3 linked regions of the Diceros bicornis minor genome follow. The protein of the gene in region 3 purifies or fractionates together with the protein of the main gene of each other region. This does not show direct contact. Links are inferred from orthologs where the notes say so. Each region holds a gene or a part of one and is shown on either strand. Other genes may lie near its edges.

Region 1 (6,826 bases), on a different chromosome or scaffold from region 3:
ACATTCTTTTCTTTTTTATTTTATTTTGGACATAGGGCATTTTCTCTGGCATGCTAAATCCAACTTTTATAATGGAAAAATAAGAATTGCAAAAATTTTAAAACACTTTAAAAACTCTTAAAACTAAAACATGCATCTAAACGGAAAAAAATCAGAACAATAGTTGCAAGAGGGGCCAAAGAGGACGGATATATGGGCAAGGATTAACTGGGAAGAGGCATGAGGAAGCTTTTGGAAGTGATGGTGTTATTCTCTATGTTGATGGAGGTTTGCACTACAGGAGTACGTAAATGTCAAAACTCACTGAGCTTCAGATTTGCGCATTTCACTGAATGCAAATTTTATAGAAAGAAAGTAAATAAATATTGAACTCTAGTTAATGATATGTCAAATATGACATATTTAGGGATGAAGTATATGGATGTTTGTGACTTACTTTGAAATGCATCAAAAAAATAAGTAAAAAGGTGGCTAGATCAGGAGACGGGTATGTGATAAATAGTCATGGGCTGCATAAGGACATTTCAGTCAACGACAGACCACACATACAACGGTGGTCCCATAAGATTAGTACCATATAGGTGTGTAGTACGCTATACCACCCAGGTTTGTGTAAGTACACTCTGTGATGTTCGCACAATGACGAAATCGCCTAATGATGCATTTCTTAGACCCTTTCCTATCCTATGAATTCACTGAGACATGATGATATAGCAAATCACTGATTGTAGAATCTAGATGGTGGATACGAGTGTTCATTGTAAAATCCTTTCAACTTTTCTGTAGTTTTGAACATTTTCACAATAAAATTCTGAAAAATGTACCTAAATCTTTAAAATAAAAAATACATGCTTTCGTTTCTCTTCCACAGTATTCACTGCAGTGCTTTTCACATTTAGGGTACTTATAAACAAAATGTAATGGTTTCATAGCCTTAAAAAAATATAAACATTGATTAATTATTTGTGAGTATGCCAATTAATCACAGTTTATAATTTTATCAAATTCATCTAAACCTAAATGTTTACAGCGCCTTCGCTTAAGTTCTTATGTGCTTCTGAGGCAGAGGGGCAAATATTCTCATGCTCATTTGCAATGAGGTTAAATGATATGCCAAGGCCAGTTCTGGAAAACCAGATCTTCTGACTTTTAACCCAGGATATTTGCCATTATAAACCACACATTTGGAAAAGTCCTAGAGAAACTATCTAAAAACTTCCCCCAGGTTTCATTAATAAGACTCATTTTATGATCTTTTTATTTACATTATCTCTGTGAATGGAACGGTTCTGCAAGACAGTCTAGCTTTTGCCCCACTTACATCTTATTGGACCCTCCAAAAGAAAAATCTAAGTGTTCTTTAAGCACTGATGGATGTTTCAACAGCTAAAACAGATCTTTCGCAATTTGGTTTTAGAGGTTCAAATAATTACAGAGATGGAAGCAGTTTTAAATGTTACTTAACAGATTCAAAAGTTAATTCCTGAAGGGGTTAAGTGATTAGCTCTCAAAGCTGTTAATGGCAGAAGGAGTACTAGAACCCAGAACATATAACTCCCTAACCAGGGCTCTTTCTGATTAACCTTAAGGCTATCATTGCTCAATTATCTGAGCTCATTAACACAAGTTAAATCATAGTACTAATGTGACAAGACCAAGGCCACAAATGGGCCAGTTAATCTTAAATATTCCATATACTTTAGAATCCAAGCCTTTTTTCTATCTTAAGATTTTTACAACTATTTGTATTTGTTGGCACTTTGATCACATTTGAAGTCGGCTGCTGTTGTGCTATCTATCATCTGAGGAGCAGGTGAAGTGGTGAAGAGGGTTGGAAACGATGATAGAAAGACCGAACAAAAACTTCTTTGGCCAAATGATGTTTGTCAAATAATTCAGTTTGTTGAGGTTATCTTCAAGAATATCACTCCCTACAAAACGGCTCAAAGCAGAAAGCTTACTACAGAGAGGTCAATGTTATGTGAAATAATTTTTCAATGTCTTTAGCTAAAATAACATTTGTAAGGTCATGATTTTTTAACTCTTTACGCAGCAGCACATTTATGCCTACATTGGAACAGATACCTTTCACAGCAACTTGGTCAAAATTCGGACCCCTGTTATTTAATTCCTAGGCTTAATAAGTAGCCCTATGCCTCTGGTGATTGAATACATAAAAGATACAGCCTTTTTCTTAAATGTTACCTTTTCTCGAATGGCTAGGAAGGCAGTAGCACCATGTCAGGTACTAGAATTAATCGACCCCCCAAGACTCCAAACGTTCTGCCCCATCAAAATAGTAAAACCTGTACCAAGTTTTTTGGTTTGTTTCATCAAATAGATAAGCTCTCCTTCACTTTCTTCTCTCCTATAAATGCTCAACTTAAAGGACGGGAATGGCTGAGGCTAGGAGCTGAGTTTGCGGATGGCTAAAAGGTTGTTACAATCCCTACCCACCGGGCCCGACTTCGGCTTTCCACCGCGGAACCACCCAGAGTTTCCCGGTGCAGTTGCTGACGGCCTGGGCGGCGCAGGAAAAACCATGACCCCCACCGAGCACCCTAGCTCCTTAAGGCCAAGCCCGCGCCCCCATGACCTCCAATGGCTCGAAAAAGGAGCCTTGAATTGCCCGCTTCTCCAACAACTGGTCTGCACTCCCTCCCAGGCCAAAGCAAGAACAGGGTCCGGGGACAAAAGCAGGGATATGCCTGTAACATGAGGAAAACCGCATCACCTGGAACTCGGCGAACTCCTCACAATTCACACCGCCACTGGGCGCCGCCATATTGGACAAACGCGAGGCCCCCGCCGCAAGCCAATCACCGCGGAGCAAAGGTGTCCATGACGCCGCCTGACAAAAAAATAATTCCCAAGGGAATCCGCGCGAAAGCTAAGCACAGGGTTTGTCTTTTCCGTGATCCTCATCCGCGTCGAAGCCTGTATCCCTGCTATCCCTCTTTTTACTCTTATCCCTTTAACGTATTCTCCTGCAACTGGCCCAAGTGCATGGATCGAAGAATGTCAGAATTGGAAGGGATCTTTCTACTCCAATCCCATTTTCTTACAAAAAGGGAAACAATTTTGTGGTTGCACCAACCAGGTCGTTCCAGGAGGAAATCTACAGTAGATTTTTACCTCTCGTCCCTAGAGCAGAGGGGCGTTTGTTCGTTAAGAATTTGGGACCACTAAGAAATATAAAAAGACATTTCTGGCAAAGTGGGGTAAGGGTTGAATAAGTTGTTTAGGTGTGGAAATATTAAAATGTTTAGTTTTATTTAAAAAATAGGCAAATAGCGAACAAAATAGGAAGCATACATGTGAATTTCTCAAGTAGCTTGATACTCCCAAATCCAATAAGAGATGGGGGCCACTGGTCACTAGGAGCCCAATTACGTGTTTTTGATAAAGGCAAGTAGTCACTGAAAATACTAGCAAAAGTGTATTGAAATAACTGGTTTATGTAGGCAGTGTGACTTCGGGGTCTACAGTTCACAAAAGTTCTACATTGAGCACATTACTTTTCTTCTATTTTAAACGGGTACTTCTTTGGACGCAGAGAACGATATTGCAAACACCCAACATGCCCAGACTCCACCAAAGAATCCTTAAGGACGCCTCCAGGACGCGGCGCGCCGCCCGCACACTCGGCTCGCCACGCACGTCCCACACGCTCCGCGCAGCACGCAGGCCCCGCCCGTACGACCCGCCCGCACGCCCCCCGCGATACTCTCGACCTCCTCGCTCCGCCCTCACGTCCCACACGCCCCGCCCCCCAGCGCCGCTGGCGTCCTTCCCTAGCGGTGCTCGATGACATTGAGCGCACGGGCGCCGCCGCTGCCGCTGAGGTGCTGTGCTGGTCGGCGGAGTAGGCGGCCATGGGGAGCCTTCGCGGCCTGCGGCTGGCGGCGGGTGAGACGCGGGCCGGAGTAGGGGAGGGCTGGAAGCCAGGTCGGCGGTAGGGTGGAGGAATCCTGCAGCGTCCCCAGGCCTGGGAGTCGCTCAGTTCCATCACGCACTCCCGTCAGGTTGCTCGGAATCCTACCCCGTGGTAGTAATAATGGGAGACAGCAAGAGCTGAGCGAGGAACTGCTGAGCAGACACTGGGGCCTGGCCCGAGTGACCCTCGCACCTGGCTGTGCATCCACGCAGCTCCCACTGACTTAACGAGCCCTTGCTCCCCGATCCCTCTCCTCCGCCCCGCTCATCCCCAGCCTCCCCTGAGCTCAGTTCTTAATGCACCTGCCATCCCTAGAACTCACCCATTGCCTTTTTCATGCAGCTTTCCACTCTAACCTCTCCCGTCCGTTACTCCATTTGAGTCTTAAGTCTGGCTCCCTCACCCCCCACTCCCCACCATCTCAAGAGTTTATCCTTGCTCTCAGAGAAAACCTCAAGTCTAGGGTTTCCTACCCATTTAGTGTTTGATTAGGCAAAGATTTGAGGTCTCACAGAAGAGTAGTAATTGTTTTCTTAACATGGGGTATGCATTTCTTTTAAACAATTTTACAATTGAGTACTTCGAATTTCTTGGAGAAAAGTGTTATGTAAATACAGGATCTGCAGTTTGATTTCCTAGTAGATATTTGTGTAATTCGTATTTGGAGTCAGAGCTTAATTCACCTTTTTTGGGAACCAGCAGAGCTTTGTTTAGTAGGGACTGAGAAATCAGAATATTTGCCTCTTGGCTCTTTTCTAGGCACCAGGGCAAATCACTCTTTTGGTCGCCTTTATGAGCTTTGATAAGGTGTAATGATTGATCTTTTATTCCTTGGTACCAAATTACTAAAAAGTTGTTTAATTCAAATTTGAAAGGAAGAATTGCTCCAGACTTGGCTATTGAAATAATGTAAATGTACATTGTAAATATAAATGAAGTAATGTAAAAAAAAAAAGTTATCCTTTACATGGCTTACTTTGTGTTCCAGTGGAGGGTGGACTGGAAAACATGTCTCAAATTGGAGAATATTGTTTACTTCCTTTAAAACAAACACTCCCTTCCACTGAAAGAGGTTGATTTTATTGATTTGTTCAGCTTTGTTGAACTAATTTGCCTAAAATCTTTTGTATACCTCCTGTTAACTTTTCAGCAAGGTAAGTGAAAGAATCACTGCCCTGTAAAAAAGTTGAAACAGACTGAGTGAAAGGGGTTTGACTACATAGGGACTAAGACTATGTGTAAGTATTTCATCTTCTTGCCTTGAGAATATATTTATTCGTTATAAAGATTCCACAGCCTCTCTGCAGACTTTTGATCTTTAAGAACTTCACTATTGGGCACTCAATCAACAAAATTCCTTGAGCAATTTAAGAACGATTTATTTTACCCCAGATAGACCCATTGAGGATGTTATAAGAGCAACTCTTTCCAGAGTCTACTCTGAATGTCTGATGTTTTGTGAAGAACTCAAAGCGATCTTGCTCAGTCTTTCACCCACTTTTGCCCATTTTATAGCTAAATACTTTGACATACATTATTTTACTTGATTGATTATTCATAGTAGCCCTCTTAGGTAAGTCTTAGCCTCCCCTTTCTGTTTTACAAAAGAATAAACATGGGTCAGAGGGTTAAATGACTTGTCAAAGATTACTTCGCCATAAAATGTTAGTGCAGGAGATGAGTCAGTGCTCTAATCCAGGAATTTGTGCTTTTGCTTTGTTCAAGATGCTTATTCAGGATAGGTGTGAATACGTTTTTGTCATGCTAATTGAGTCTCTGCTGTGCAATGGAAGAGTCATGAAATGCAGATCTACGTGTGAAATGGAAGCACACATTCATGTGCAAATGAATTTTCAAGTAAGAAGACTGAACAGGCAACCTTAGCCAAAGGAATGGTAGATCAAATAGAAACATAATCTAGGCACACTTCGCTTATCCAGAATATCATTTGGGATAAGATGCTCTGGGTGAGTGAAATTTTAAATAGCCAAAGCTTAATCTTTTAAATGATGGACCTTTATTTTTAATTGTTTCTCTTGGAAATCTTTGCTGTACTCCCTTAGGGAACAGAATATAGGCTTTTATGAGCTTGAATTTGTTTATCGTTTCATAGATATAGCTGTAGATATAGGTCAGGGTTCTTACTTGTGGTTCTTAGGCCTCTTCTCAGATGAGAGGTCCTGTGAACCTCTGAAATTATATTCAAATTTTTATGATTATATACCTGTTTGGGGAAGTGAGGGTCCGTAGCTTGCATCCTGTAGCTTGCATCCGTTAGTCAGATGCAATCTGTGCTCTCTCAGTTAAAAAGCATTGGTGATAAGATCTGAAACTAAATGGCTACTCACCCACACTACTGTGGGTTCCAGGAGGGTTAAGACTGGGTCTCTTTTGTTTTTACTAAATCTTCAGCACTTATCAGTGTCCAACTCATAGTAGACAGGCAATAGATATTTTTTTTGATAACTATTTTTAATATTTTATTATATTGGAAAGTAATTATTTTTAATAGCAATTATTACTTTGTACAGAATAATTATTAGGTCAGAGGAATGAAGTGGCCTTACAAGAATGTTTCTTTTTTCTTTTTTTTGTGAGGAAGATCAGCCCTGAGCTAACATCCATGCCAATCCTCCTGTTTTTGCTGAGGAAGACTGGCCCTGGGCTAACATCCGTGCCCATCTTCCTCCACTTTTTATATGGGATGCCACCACAGCATGGCCTGATAAGCGCTGTGTCCTGCGCGCCCGGGATCAGAACCCCGGCCGCCAGCGGCGGAGCAGGAGCACTTAACCACTACACCACGGGGCAGGGGGGGCCCACAAGAGTGTTTCTTAACACCTTCAGAAACGTTGTACTGCCCTAAACTCCTTTATCGGCAGATTTTAA
Region 2 (8,015 bases), on a different chromosome or scaffold from region 3:
GGCTCTTTGGTACAGCAACTTAGACTCTAACTAACATCCCAACTAATACAAGCACTGAAAAGCCAGTCGGAAGCTTCGTGTACATGAGTGCTTGTCCAGCATGGGTTTCACTCTAAGGTAATGGCTCTCTAGGTGTGGTCCAGGTAACCTCGGGGTCCTTGAAGGGTCCTTTCGGGGGGTACCTGAAGTCAAAATTATTTTCATGATAACACTAAACCATTATTTACCTTTTTTACTCTCATTCTCTAGAGTGTACAGTAGAGTTTTCCAGAGGCTACATGACCTGTGATAGCACAACAGAATCAATGAAGAACTCGAGATTTGCAAAAATGTAAAACAATGCCACTCTTCTCACTAAATATTTTGTTTGGGAAACTTTAGTTATTTTTCATAAAAATATGTTAACACAATGAGTTCATTGTTATTTTTAAATGAGTAAGTAAATATTTCTAAAATTTCTCATTTTCATTTTGAATATATATAATCCAAATTTTATTTTCTTATTTTATTTTATTTTTTGTGAGGAAGATCAGCCCTGAGCTAACATCCATGCCAATCCTCCTCTTTTTGCTGAGGAAGACTGGCTCTGAGCTAACATCTATTGCCAATCCTCCTCCTTTTCTCCCCCAAAGCCCCAGTAGATAGTTGTATGTCATAGTTGCACATCCTTCTAGTTGCTGTATGCGGGACGCCGCCTCAGCATGGCCAGAGAAGTGGTGTGTCGGTGCGCGCCCGGGATCCAAACCCGGGCCACCAGTAGCGGAGCGCATGCACTTAACCGCTAAGCCACAGGGCCGGCCCCATATAATCCATATTTTAAAAGCTCTTTGGGGTACTTAATAACTTTTAAGAATATAAAGGGATCCTAAGATTAAAAAGTTTAAGAACTGTTGCACTAGGGTGACCTGCCTGGGCTCTTTCATTGAGGATTTCCAACTGTTAGGATCTGTAGATTTTTCTTTTGGGCTGGTTGTTTTCCCCACAGAGGAATAATTCACTCTTCTGCTGAGAAACTTTCAAGGACTTTTTGGCAAAGCCTACAACATCTGGTGCTTGCTTATTTCACCTTTGTCATCTTGTGTAACTCTCCCATTCACTCATTATGGTTTGGGACACATTCATCTTCATCTTCGTCTTCACTCGGTTCTGTCAATGGCCCATGCTCTGACCTGCCTCAAGGTCTTTGCACTGTAGGGAGATGACTCCACCATGGCGCCCTGGCAACCTTGTATGTCTCCACATAGTCCACATAGGCAAAGGCTGGAAACTCAGCTGAATCTAAGTCTTGGCAGAATGCCTTGTGATCCTCCTGGAACACAAGGGAGGCTTGTGAGGAGCTTCTACAAGGCCATTTCTCACTCACTTCCCTATCTACCTGGAAAGTTGTCATGAGGCAGTTTCTCATAGCCTCCAGGTTGTGATGAGGTCTGAAGCTTTCTGTCTCACTCCTCCGAGGATACAGTTGCAAAGTATAATACTACTTAGCTGCAGCAGGGCATTAGCTGCTCAGCAACAGAGTATCCTAACAGCTGTGTTGCAGTCATCTGGCCCCATTTGTTTCAGTGTTGCCCTACATGAGGGCCACTAGGAGCTCGCACCTTTGGCTACTCTTCCTTTTGGCGTGTATGTTAAGTAATAAACTGTCTGAATCTAAAAAGAGTTCCTTGTCTCTTTACCAGCCACATCTATCAGTCATGCCTTGCCATGTGGTTCACATGCACATGGTATTCCCTCTGCTTAAATGCTCTCTTTCCACCCCCCCAACTTTATTCACATCTTACTGTTTTAGATCTTGCCTTAAATGTCATCTCCTCATACAGACCTCCTTGACCAGCTTGTCCAAACTAGACCCCTTGTGACAGACACTTTTGGTTGCAATTCCAACACCCACTCTCCCTTCCATCCTGTTCCTGGCTAACGAGAACCCCAATGTTGACTTGTTAAGGTATTAGGCAGTCATGTGGTTTAGGAGAAGCCAGGCCCCTCCCCACTCCCAGACGATGGCTCTTGATTTGTTGAGCTCCAACAAGGCAATTTTATTCCTTTGCCAATGACTGGTCTAGAAATGGGCAGATGATAAAATTCTGCCCAACAAAACATAAAGGGATATCTGGTGCGTGCTTCCGGGAAACTTTACCTCACTCTTAGAAGGGGACCCAAAAATGTGACTTGCCCTTTTCCTGCCTTCTGGCCTTTGGTTATTGTTTTGTGAGAACATTAAGTTTGGACCTTCTGCAGTCATCTTATGGCCTTGAGAGGACAATGCCTGAGGACAAAAGTCAACACCTGAAGATGGCAGAGCTGAAAGAAGGAAAGACTGCATCATTGATGGCCTTGGCGAGCCACTAAATTCACCAACCCCAGAACTGCCCTACTACGGGACTTGTTATTTGAAATAATGTATTTCCTTTTTGTTTAAGCCAATTGAGTCCACTTTTCTGTTACTTGCACTCAAAACCTTCCTGACTGAGTCACACAGCCTCCTATTGTCTGCTTATTTCCTTCATGAAATGAGTCAAAATTTCATATAATTTATTTCTTTGTGTACTTGTCTTTGTCTGTATACCACCCTCCCCTCACCCCAGAATGTAAACTCCATGAGGACAAAGTCCTTCTCCATCTTCTTCGTCACTGTATCCCCATTGTCTAGCACGACGTCTGGGACATGCTAGGCCTCCAATATATGTGTGTTAAATGAATGAAGAAAAAGAGAGGTTCTTCTATAATTGTTTGCTTTAATTATCACCCCTCCCATGTTGGCACTGAACAAGGAAGTAGAATCAATCTTTGTTTGGATATGACTTACGGATCACCCATTCCCACAGCTTGGAAAAGCACAGGCTAGGGTATCAGACATATCTGCCATTTATCAGCTGTGTGACTGTAAGCAAGTTACTTGACTTCTCTGAATCTCCATTTCTTCATTTCCAAAATGGTGATACGAAAATAGGGCTAAATAAGGTTATGTATTTAAAAAGCAACTGGTCCATAGTCGGGGTTCAAGATATATTTGTTCTTGTCCTCAATCTGTACACCTGACTGGGGAAAGGGGCTGAAGGGGAAAATGCTCTATGTAGCAACGAATTGGACCCACTCCTAAAGCTGATGCAGCAGTGCGACTCTGTCCCTAATCTCTGTCTCACTACAATTAAATTATTCCCAGATACCCTCCTCAGTGTCCTTATCCTTCATCCTCCCCATCTCTTCACCTGTAACTAGCCCAGGTCCACATGATGCCCTCATGTCACGTGAGCCTTCCCATTGCCTTTACTTTGCAGGACAGAATGTGGGGAGGTGGCAAGAATATAGGGCTTAGACTTAGAAGACCTATGGTCCAGTCCAGGCTGGCTCTGACCAGACGAGCGACCATGAGCAAGCCATTTAACCTCTGAATGAATTATAAGACATTCTGCAAAAATTGGTTTCTTTTAATATCTTCAGCATTCTTGTTAGTGAGATTAGAATAGAAGCAGATAAGACTAAGGCTATTCTTGCAGGATTCCGGAGCAGCCTGTCCTGTGTTTCCTGACCACAGCCTAACCAGCCACTTCAACGCCCTTCATTATTCATTCATTCAACAAATACTGATTGAGTGCCCACTGTGTGCCAAGCACTGTTGTATGTTCTGGGAATAGAACAATAAAGAAAGCAGACTAAACTTTCAGTCTCATAGAGCTTTCATTTTAGTAGTCAGAGGAAAAAATTGTGGTTGGTTAGAGCAAACTCATACCACCTGAAGAGTGCTGCCATGGATATCTCTGATCATTTGAGTGTGCCAAATGGGGACAAAGAAGGGGGACAGAGAGGAGAGGAGAGAAATGCAGGAAAAAGAAATTGAAAGAATCCAATCCTACTAGAATCCAGAAATGGGCCTGGTTTTGTTAAAATTAAGTGTCCCTACATCAGTTAGGTAATGCCCCAGCTAAGAATGCAAAACCTGAATCTAATCATGAGGAAACATCAGACAAACCCAAAATGAGAAACATTCTTTTTGCTTGTTTGTTTTAATGTAATAAAAGACAACGAAGGCTGAGGACAATTTTCGGATTAAAAGAGACTAAAGAAACATGAAAAATAAATACAGTACCTAATCTTAGACTGCATCCTGTATGGGGGAGGGTGGAGACTACTATAAAGTTCATTATTGGGTCAATGGACAAAATTGGAATGCAGAGGGTAGATTAAATTTACTCAAGTTATATAAGAGAATGTCTTTATTCTTAGAAAACACAGAGAGAGAGAGAAGAAGGGGGGGACAGGGAGGGAGCAAATGATAAAGCAAATGGAGCAAATTGTTAGCAATAAACGAATTCGAGTAAAGGATACATATGTTTTTTGTACTATTCTTGCAACTTTTCTAAATAAAACTTTTTAAAAAAAATTGTGTCCAGGGGACCCGGACTCTAAGCCGAGACTTTTGTTAAATCAGTGCATGACCCTGAATGAATCCCTTCCTCTCTCTGGGTTTCAGTTTTCTGGCCCAGATGGTTTCTAAGGTTCTCTGGCTCTGGCAATCAATGTCCCACGACTGAGGACATTTCCAGACAGGGCTTTGGAAACCAGACAGTCCCTCGACTTCCCTCAAGATCTCTCAGCCCACCAGTTATTTCACAGCTTTCCCCAGAGTGCCCATCCAACCTGTTTCATCAACCGTAAATTTGCCCCTGTCACTCTTTCAGACGGCCCTCCCGGCCTATCTCCCTCAGGCTCTAGCACCGGCGCAGGATAGGCACGTGCATTTATCCCCATGGAACTACAGGCCCCAAAAGGCTTTGCGGCCACTTCTTGGCGTTTACCACCAAAGAGAAAAGCCTTTTCAGCGCAGGCCAGCCGCTGCATGGCTCTTTGGGAAATGTAGTTCATTAGTGAGGAGCCGGGGAACCAGAGTCAGGAGGCCAGCCACCCTTCCCAGAATGCACCACGCTCTTCCCCACCAATCAGAGGTGCGGATCTTGGAAGGAGGGCGGGGAAGAGGAGGAGCTGCCAGCGCATGCGCAGTATGTGAGACTGGGGAATTCATGTGGAGGTCAGTGTGGAAGCAGGTGAGAATGGAGGGGTCCAGTCTGGGCGTCTCTGCAACCTTCCTCTGCACTCCTCTTCGCAATTTGTGCAGGCAGGTTGCGTGCGTTTGTCCGCCTCGTGTGGGAGGGGAAAGGGGGTGAGCCCGGGACGAGCCAGGGGTGGCGTAAAGTAAGGGAGGTGTGTATGGGGGCAGGGTGAGGAATAATGCAGAAGCTATTAGAAGTGGAAAGGCCGAGGGGTCAGGACTGGGCGTCCTGGCCTCGAGAAAGGAATTTTTAAGTGCATGGGGGGAGGTCAAGGTAGTCTCAGGAGTTGAAACTGACGTGGACGATGATGGGCGGGGCATTAAAAAGTTAAGTGCTGTAGTAGATTCTAGTTGGGTCAGCCGTGCTCCCGGCACCCCCTCTCAGCCCCACCCTCCCCTTCTTCCAGGGCTCTGCCGCGCCGTGCAGCTGTTTAGAGCCTTTCTGCCCAATTGGTTCTTCTGATATCTTGATCCCAGGAGGTCATCCAGCTCCTGCTTCCATAATAACAGGGCATTCTTAATACCTGATGTTGAGAAGCAGTATGATGAGGAGTTAAGCTGTGCCTTCTAGAATTAGACCTGTAGGTTCTAATCCTGGTTCTGCCACTTAATAGCTGTGTGATCTTGGGCTCCTCATGTAACTTCTCTGTGTGCCTCAGTTTCTTCATCTGTAATAGTCTACTTCATAGGGGTTGGTGTGAGGATTAAGTAAATTGCTGGTAGGAGACTGCCTGGTATGAAGATTAGCTATTATTATTTTTGCTGTTGGAATCCGTGTAGCACATTCTTTGAGTTATTTTTCCAAACCAAAATTCCAAAGAACCAACCACACAGCCTCTCTCTTGGGGCCTGCTTGTCCAGGAAATGGGAGGGTGGTTTCCTGTGGTGCTGAGTTCTTCTTGGGTATCAAGCCCATATCTCATTCCCATTATTGAACCAAGTGCCCAGACCCCTTTTCTTAAGTGGTAGAAAAAGAAGGAAGAAATGGGAAAACAAAAAAGCAAAGGAATTGATACTACCCTTTTCTAAGCTATGGAGTGTCATTTATTAGGTGTCCTTCAGTGGATGGTTTAGAGCTCCACAGTGGGGAATAAATAGCCAGCTTGAGAAGTGAATATGGTGCCTCAGACAGGGCTTTCTCTGAGGATTTTGGGATCAAGTTGCTTTGTTTTGTTTTTACCCCCTCAGGTGTGAGTGGGTCCAGCAGAAGGAGACATGGCTGCCAAAGTGTTTGAGTCCATCGGCAAGTTCGGCCTGGCCTTAGCTGTGGCGGGAGGCGTGGTGAACTCTGCCTTGTACAATGGTAAGACACTGAGGGGCGGTGGGTCATTGCCTTTTGCCGGAAGACGTCTGTTGGTCTCCACAGCCTATGTGACACTCCTGATGGCAGCCGCTGTCTGTGAATGTGTTTGTGACCAAGAGGGCTCACCTGCTGCCATCCCACACTGTATGGTTGTACTGTCATCAGAACCTCTGTCCTTGTAGCTGTAGGTTCTCTCAGAGGCTTTATTCACAAGGAGCCTCCCAGCCCAGTTGCCATTGGATGTTTCCAGCTGCTCTTGTTAATTTGAAGTGATGCCACGCCACTCAAGTGTTGCAGCAGAGTGTCGCGATTGCACAGCCTGGCCGAAAGGGAGCTCTCCTTTGTTCCCTTCTGCCTGTGTGTGGACTAACTCAGCAAGGGCTTTAGACCTTTGGTGACCTTGTCCTCGGCAGGAGCTTCTGCTCTGCTGCAGTTGGGTCGTTCCAGAGAAGTATCTTTGAGATGCGTTGCCCAGCTTTTAACAATGTGGCAGGGGTTTACGCAGGCTTTTCTTCCACTTTCCTGTGTGACCTTAGGCGAGTTACTTCCCGCTCCCTAGGGGTCGGCTTCTTGATTGGTCAAGCAATGCCATTGAACTGGTTCGTCTCTAAGACCCCCTCTAACTCTGATATTCCCTCACTTTCTTTTCGGAAAGCGGATTGACCCACCTCGTGTGTGACTATCTGACAGGAGGAGGATTACTTCCAGAGTGAAGATATTTGGACCAACTGTAAAGTCCCAAAAGGCAGGGGCGGAGACAGTCGATCAGAAAAGCCTTGGCTTATATGGCGCAGTTTTATCCTCTGATCTTTTTGGCTACCCCTGCACAGCTAGACCATAATTGCCATCACTAATTTCTCGCTGAACCAACAAGACAACTCTATAACCCCTTAAAACCTTAAAGAAACCAAGCTATTGGAAGGAAAGAGTAGGACCTTCCATGTTCTGGGATTCCCCTAGCGAGGGTGCTGCTTCTGGGAACACTGGGTTAAATTGGAGCTAGGATGGAATGTGGTCACAGTGAAGACCTTGGTGCGTTTTAGAAAGAAGTTTGGGGGGTGGTTCCTGGAAATGTATTGGTGGGAGTTTGGGGATGAGGTAGTTAATCAGAAAACCAGCAACCAGTTGTTTCGAGGTGAAAGGATGCTGAGGAATAGATCCTATTACCAAAGTCCTTGGGAATACACGTGGGATAGGAAGTGATTGCTTAGTTTTGTAGCTATTTAGAAGCCTCTAGGGACCAGAAGAGTGGGAAGACAGAGGAAGAGAGCGGAGACGTAAATGAACAAGAAACACCAGGGATCTTTCAAAGGCTCAATCCTTTTGGTTCAAGAGTGAGGGGATTTTTCTGACCCGTCATTACCCTTCATTCCTAGTGGATGCTGGGCACAGAGCTGTCATCTTTGACCGGTTCCGTGGCGTGCAAGACATTGTGGTTGGGGAAGGGACTCACTTTCTCATCCCTTGGGTACAGAAACCAATTATCTTCGACTGCCGCTCTCGACCACGTAACGTGCCAGTAATCACTGGTAGCAAAGGTGAGTCTTGCCTGGGGGTCAGGTAAAGTAGAGAGTGTGGAAGGGGTGCTGTGGGTTCCAGAAGAGATTGAATTTCCCATAATAAGACTTCCTAGCATATTTTCCCTGGAGGGTTTTATATGGATTT
Region 3 (7,307 bases):
CCCCCACCCTGGGCCTCATACTTTAGAGTGACTCACTCTAACCCTTCTCACATTGTGCCTTTTCCTATGGGGTGAGGAGTCTGCAGGGCCAAGGGAACATGCCCACCAAAGCCCATGCCCACCCTTTCCTTATCTGGACCAAACTCTGGATACAGAAGATCTCAGTCTTCCCAGTTGAAACAGTCCTGAGCCTCATTCTGGGGCCTGCATGGACTTCTCCAGAGCCCTTTCTTCTGAGCATGGATTGAACTGCCAGTGACACACCCCTAAGCCCATGGGATAGTCAAGGAGCATATGTATGTGAGGCGGGATGGAGCTTGGATGTGTGGGCTGGGGTGTATTCCTCACACTGAAGGACAGAGCCTGGGGCAGGAAGAGAAGGAATGTGTATCTAGAGCTGGCTCTCCCCATGTGACCTCATCTGGCACAGACAGGAGTAGGACTGAGTCCTAATAAAGGCATCTTCAAAATTTGTCTGGCTGGATTTCAGAACTGTTGTGGACTCCTGTGTATCTCCTGTTTCCCTCTTTTTGACCAGGGGTGTCTTTAGCAGTTATCCTGTGCCTATCCCACTCTGTGTGTGTTAGATGTGTGTGTAGGGGGCAGACAGCTTCTCTCTTTACTTCATAGGTCTTCAAATCAAGAGGAACTGTACTGGAGTTGCTGCACTTAAGGAACTACACCTGAGAGGCCTCTTGCTGATGCTATAAAGGCTGGAGGTTTTGGGGAAGTCTTGGGAGGGAATCAGTGTATTTTCTGTTTAGGAGAAATAGAAATAATGTGACCAGAGGATCGACTGTGGTGATTTAAAATATGTCCACAAATCCTTTGACACTCCTTTCAAAAGGTGGAGCCTAATTGCTCTTCCCTTGAGTGTGGACTAGTCTTAGTAACTGACTTCTAACAAAGAGAATAAGGCAGAAATGACAGTGTGATTCCTGAGGCTGGATCATATAAGACATTGCGCCTTCAGTCTCTCTCTCTCTCTCTCTCTCTCTCGAATCACTTGCTCTGGGAGAAGCAGCTGCCGTGTCATGAGGACACTCAAGCAGCCCTATGGAGAGATCCACATGATGAGGACCTGAGGCCTCTTCCCAATAGCCACATGAGGGAGCCATCTTGGAGGTGGATCCTTCAGCACAGTCAAGCCTTTAAAAGACTGTAGCCCCAGCCAACATCTTGACTGCAACCTCATGAGAGGCCCTGAGCCAGAACCACCCAACTAAGCCATTCCCTAATTTCTGACCCACAGAAGCTTCCAGATAATAAAATGTTTGTTGTTTTAAGCTACTAAGTTTTGGGGTAATTTGTTACACAGTAATAGTAACTAATACTCTGTCTTTACCTCACTTGAGTGCTCCTCAGGATGTGACACTGTTGAGTGCTCCTTCCTCCCCACTGCTCTCCCCTTTGGCTTCCAGGAAAACACTCCCTCCTGAGTTTTCTTTTAGCCTCTTACCCAGACCTTTCTCCTAGGCTTCATAATTGCCTACTGGACAACTCCATTTAGATGTGGCCCCTGGCTCCTCATACTTATCCGAAATTGAATCATCCTCTTTACTCTCACACCTGTCCCTCTTCCTGTAGCCCTTCCGACAGTGAGTAGAACCTTTGTCCTCCCAGTTGCTCAAGCCAGAAATGTTGCTCCCAGCCACCCTAGACTCCTCCTCATTCACTGTTTTTAGGACCTTCAGTATTTAGCTCCAGCCAACATCTTTACACTAATCTCTCAACTTTTTCTACAGGTTTTTCCAGCTTTACTTACTTGTGGTTTCCAAATGATTCTTGTCACTTCAAGCCCCCATATGGCTTTGCACATACCTCTTTCTAGAATTTTGCGTTTCCATCTTTGACCTTAGGGCTTTTTAATTTTGATAAGTCCTACTTTGAAACTTTAGTGCAAGCGTCTCCTCAGCCTGACTGTGCCCACAGTCCTCTGTGGCAATATACTTTTACAAGGATGTTTGCATAGCAAACAGCCTTTGGAAATAGAGGTAGTGTCTCCTTCTAGGGCAGAGGCAAGATTTAATTTCCTGAGAAGTACACTGTAATGTCTCCCTCTGGGGCAAAGGTTGGGCAGGTTTTTTAGCAGCTCCTTATAAGCAGGGGGTTTCCTAAGGTCAGGATTCCTGAACTGTGACATAAATACATGGTGTGCACAGCTTCTACCTAGGTGCTCTGCATCACTCCTGTGGGACGTAGAAGGCAAGTGGAACTGATTCCACCATTAAGCTTATGCTGCCTGCTGTGCCACAAGTAACGAAGTCTTTTGTCTCTGACCTTCGAGTCTCATGTCTTCAGCCAGCATCTATAAACTTATGAACCTATGGCAAGCTAACTTGCTAGCTTGTAAGTAGGGTAAAATCTTAGACCCTTCACAGTTCTTGACACCTATATACACATGACTTTAAGTGCTTGAGAGCAGGAGCTGCGTCTGAATGGACTTTGCTTTCCCTGTGGGTGACACAAGGTAGTTGCTCTGTAAGTGGTGGCTGCTACTAATGCTGCTTTGGTCTAAAGGGCTTTGGAGGTAAGCACTCAGATACATTTACTGAATCCAACTTTGAAGTAAATTGCCGTGTTTCTTCTCCTGGTTATTAGGTATTGTGTACATTCCTTGGGTTTGTAGAGGGTGAAGCCTCAGATCAGTGTTCTGTACAAAGTGAAATTTTCTGGAGGTTAAAAATGCTACAGATAGTTCACAATGTGAATAAGCCTTACTGCAGGTAATGGAAGTGACTGAGCAGAGACTAGGTTCTTCTGGGAGGTGGTGTGTTATGCTGCAGTTGGAATGGGAAGTCAGTCTCTGCTATTAGCCTCACAACAGCATCAAACAGAGCCAGAGCAGACCAGCTCCCAGTGGAGCAAAGCTGATTTCAGACCAACCTGTCTGAGCTTGAATGAAAGAATTAATCAGTGCTTTTGGTGCCTGAACTGTTAGGAGCAAAGACTCCTCTCTTCTTCTAACCCTTTACATGAGTAATCCCAACCATGACCAGGCAAGATTGCTGGCTGGGTTTGCTCATGGGAGGGATATCTATCAGGCTGCAGCTTTAATCCGGTTTTGGATTGTGGAAGCCTATCTAGCTATGCTTTTCCTGGTACAGGAGAAGGGTGGAACCTTGGCAGCATTTGACCAGAGGTGGCTTTCAGAGCCAGAGGAAATCAGGGGGAAAAAGTCTTTGCTCATAGTCTGTGGCTGATGGCTATTAAAGACCACTTCATTTGATTTAAACCTGTCATTTTATAGATAAGGAAACTGGGGTACAAAGGGGATAAATTGCTAAGATGGGCGATTGATTCCGGAGCCTCGAGTGACCCCATTTCTAGCTCGTTAGGCTTTTTTTCTGTTCCCTTGGCTCCCTCTTCCTGTACACCCAGGAACTTGAGTGCAGCATTCTAATGCCTGGTCAGCATGATTCCTAAATTTTCTAGCAGGCTTGACTCACCAAGACAGCGTGGGTTCTGTGCATGTGCAAAGCAGTTCCATCCCTAAGCGGGCAGAAGGCGGCAGAAGAGGAACCCTAAGCACGGACGGAGGGTGGGATGGGAGGGGCGGGGCACCTTGAGATGTGCTCACGTTTGTTCAGGGACCGGCATGCCGAGGCCAACAGAGCCTCTCAGGCGGAGTCCCGCTCAGCATGGCGATTACACCGCCGCGGGAAACAGACGAAGGAAGGGAGGGCGCGAGGGACTGGAAGTGGTGACCCTGTGCCCCACTCGTTTCTCCCTGGGCCTGGACAGAGAGACGGTCTTTCAGAAGCGCACGTCGCACTTGCCTAGGGTAAACGGGAGTAAGGCTCAGCTACTTCCTTCCAGACGATCTATATGGCAGACGGCCTCGGCAGCTTCAGAGAACCACAGTCGAGAAACATAGTCGAGAGATGTACGTGACTTGCGGGGTGCGCAGCCACGCCCAGCCTCGCAGGGCTCCGCGCGGGCACGCGCCTGACGCCCCGCCCGCCCGTGACGAGCGCGCGCGGGGCCTCCGCCCCATCCCCCGCCCGTGCCATCCCCGCCGCGTTGCCTCTGCCGTTCCCCGCCCCCTCGCCTCTGGGGCTGCCCTCATCGTTGCCTGACCCGAGGTCCAGCAGCTTCTGCCTTTCCGGCCCCCGCCGACGGACGGAGGCGGTCCACTCCGGGGGCGGAGGTGCTCTCGGCCCACGAGGCCGTTCCGGAGCGGGTTGGAGTGGGCAGCGGGTGGCGCTGCGGAGACAGGCGCGGCGGACAGCCCCGGGGGCAGCGGCGGGGTCCTGGCGGGGGGAGGATAGGGTTGCGGCGGGCGGAACGGTGTCTCCTTCACTTCGCCCTCCAGCCGCGGCAGCTGCAGCGCGACCCCGAGCGAGCCGAGCGGTCTTAGCTGCGAACGGAGCGGCGGCGGCGGTTCTTCTCAGGAGACCAGCAGGTACCGCCGCGCCCGCCTCACTCCGACCTGGGAGTCTAGGCCTCGGCGGCTAAGCAGGAGGCTTGAGCCGGACTCGGGGTCGGCCCTGGCTCCCTAAGATGGCCGCGCTGCCCCGCGGCCCCTCGCCTTTCTCTGTTTGAGACCCCTTTCTGGCCTCTTGACCCGCCCCTCACCCCCGCTGACCGCACTTATTTTCTCTCCGGCAGATCACTTCTTCCCGCGGCCTCGCCATGACGACCTACGGACAGAGCTGCCCGCGGCGTAAGTGGAGAAGGGATCTCTGCGGGCTGGGGTGGCGGTGTCCGGGGAGTCGAAGCCTGTGGACCAGAAAACCGCAGCTTCTTTCCCCCCATCTCTCCAAGGACTTGGACATTCGCCCCTTTCGGTAGCCACTCCTCGGTCCTGACTCCCCCCGTCTCTGCGGAGGAGGGGCTGGGCTGCTGGATTTCGGATAAGAGGCCTAGGCCAGGGGAGTTGGTCTGTGGCTGCATTCACTTTCAGTTTTTGGACGTGTCTTTGACCAACTCAAAAGCAGAAAGTTATTTGTTGGATTCAGCCTTTGGAGGATTGGATCAGTCACTTTTCTAGAGGAAGTAGTAACTCCTCTGAGAGAGCGCAAGGTCATTACATGTGCTCCTAAGGGCGTGGACGTGCTTTGTAGAATGAATGAGCTAGTGTAAGTAGATCAGATTGCTTGCCCTTAAGCCACACAGCATTGGCCGAGGACTTGAGTGTCATATTAGTATGTTTAAAGTGCCGTTGGATAGTTAGTTGATGTAGACACTTGAGTGAAACATAGATGGCCCTTTTTTCCCTAAGTTTCAATATTTAAATTCCCATAGTGTAAATTAGCTTTCTCTTCCCACTCCAGAATGTTGGTTTTGACCTCAGTGAGGATACTAAGGGATATATTGGGGGAGAGGGCCTTGTGTTAGGTTTTGATTTCATCTCGTTTGGGTAAATCAGCCCGTTCCAGTGAATTTTGGCGGATATATCTGTATGTATAGATATATATGTGTGTATATGTTTGCATCTTTGTACTAGTCCAGTCCTAGGCGTTGAGGCTGTAGGCACTGTGTATAGTTAGGAATAGGAAGTCTGTTTTTCTATTTTGTAGAGAATTTCCCGAGTTCGTATAGCCACTTACTGTGGTTATCCATTTTAGAAATAAGCCTTTGTTGGTGATATGTCCTTCGTGGATCATTAGAATACAGTTTTATTGTAGCTCCTGGTGGTGTCAAAAACACATCTTCAACAGGTTAGACTGCTTGAATTTAAAGATAGCAGTGGGTCATAATCTAGTTCTTGGACAGAAAGTGGGAGAACTGCAACATTAACACTGGAATGTTTCTTCCCACCAGCAATGTGTGTTCCTCCCTCATACGCTGACCTTGGCAAAGCTGCCAGAGATATTTTCAACAAAGGATTTGGTAAGAACTTTTTAAAAAAATTTTAGATCAGAAGTGAAAATGTGTTTGGATTTCTTAGGGAAATTAAATTAGTAATTAAAATTGTAAATATTTTATTGTATTCTTCTTTTAGATAAATTTTAGATAAAATTTCTGTTAAAATAGTTTTGTAACAATCCACATCCCCTTCTACCCCAGTTTCCTCCAATTTTTTCAAACTCTAGTTTAAGGATTTTATCTTTAGGAAAAAAAACAACTGTGTTTTCATTTCCTTCAGTTATAGCTTATGCCGTGGTTGACTAGAATTAGGATATATTACTGTATTTTGCTTTTGTGGTGGTGACTCCTAATGGGTTATGTGCTTTGTCATTGAATTTGGGTTGTCTTGAAGATTTTTTTCCACTCCCGCCCTTTAGATTATTTCCCCAATTATTTAGATTTTTTAATCCCAAAGAGAGATATCCCTTTGGGATAAATGTTCTAAATGTTTGTATTATAATAAACTATTGGCTATTCTGAGATTTAAGTTGAATTGATTCTCTGATCTGGTATTTAGGTTTTAAAATGGTTTGAAAGCATTTTTTTTTTGGTGCCATATATACACCAAAACACTATGCAAAGCTGCGTAGAGTGGTTCTGTCCTTTACCTGTCAGTTTGCATAGAATAATTTAAAATTTTTTCATTTTAATACTGTGTATCAACATACATTTTTATCCCCTTCTGAATATGTGAAATCTTTTTTGAGTCAGCTCAACCAAGAGCTGACTACTTTTTTATGTGTGTAGTCAGCTCTTGGTTTGCATCTTTCATGTGAAAGAATCATTTTGTTATCTTTTGCTCTCTTCTTTAAGGTTTTGGGTTGGTGAAGCTGGATGTGAAAACAAAGTCATGCAGTGGCGTGGTGAGTGTTAGATATTTCATAAGTTCTGATGAGCCTTTATGTAGTATTCAACCTATAAAATAGTCATAACTGAAAGATGTCTACCCATTTTATCTTAAAGAAGAGGCAGAAGTTAATTTTGTTTTAAGGGATTTGCATGTAACTTGATTTATTTTGGCTTTGGATATGATTTCTTTTTTTCTTTCTTTCTTTCTTTCTTTTTTTTTTTTTGTGAGGAAGATCAGCCCTGAGCTAACATCCATGGTAATCCTCCTCTTTTTGCTGAGGAACACCGGCTCTGAGCTAACATCTATTGCCAATCCTCCTCCTTTTTTTTCCCCAAAGCCCCAGTAGATAGTTGTATGTCATAGTTGCACATCCTTCTAGTTGCTGTATGTGGGACGCGGCCTCAGCATGGCCGGAGAAGCAGTGCGTTGCTGCGCGTCCGGGACCCGAACCCGGGCCGCCAGTAGCGGAGCGCGCGCACTTAACCGCTAAGCCACGGGGCTGGCCCTGGATATGATTTCTGATTTTCTTGTGGTTTACTATGTATGCACAAGGAATTCGGGAAAGACACTGGCCATGTGGGACTCTGTTTACTCAGTAAAATTA

What was found. Proteins that work in one complex are often made in the same cells at the same time.
Region 1: the proteins of VDAC2 (region 3) and FAM162A fractionate together in Homo sapiens (co-fractionation; 3 studies listed by BioGRID and IntAct, with this or other methods). This does not show direct contact. The link is inferred for Diceros bicornis minor from reciprocal best matches to the Homo sapiens genes VDAC2 and FAM162A.
Region 2: the proteins of VDAC2 (region 3) and PHB1 purify together in Homo sapiens (affinity purification with mass spectrometry; 4 studies listed by BioGRID, with this or other methods). This does not show direct contact. The link is inferred for Diceros bicornis minor from reciprocal best matches to the Homo sapiens genes VDAC2 and PHB1.

What each region holds. Positions count from the first base shown.
Region 1 is NC_080754.1:23,233,359-23,240,184, forward strand, and holds the start of FAM162A (protein FAM162A), read left to right. Parts: upstream 1-3,814; 5' UTR 3,815-3,875; coding exon 3,876-3,909; intron 3,910-6,826. Other genes in the region: protein MIX23, read right to left, coding at 2,735-2,785. UniProt on the Homo sapiens protein: Proposed to be involved in regulation of apoptosis; the exact mechanism may differ between cell types/tissues.
Region 2 is NC_080757.1:36,732,801-36,740,815, forward strand, and holds the start of PHB1 (prohibitin 1), read left to right. Parts: upstream 1-5,003; 5' UTR 5,004-5,042; intron 5,043-6,235; 5' UTR 6,236-6,262; coding exon 6,263-6,350; intron 6,351-7,726; coding exon 7,727-7,888; intron 7,889-8,015.
Region 3 is NC_080745.1:31,598,983-31,606,289, reverse strand, and holds the start of VDAC2 (voltage-dependent anion-selective channel protein 2), read left to right. Parts: upstream 1-4,296; 5' UTR 4,297-4,405; intron 4,406-4,611; 5' UTR 4,612-4,635; coding exon 4,636-4,666; intron 4,667-5,766; coding exon 5,767-5,835; intron 5,836-6,666; coding exon 6,667-6,716; intron 6,717-7,307. UniProt on the Homo sapiens protein: Non-selective voltage-gated ion channel that mediates the transport of anions and cations through the mitochondrion outer membrane and plasma membrane.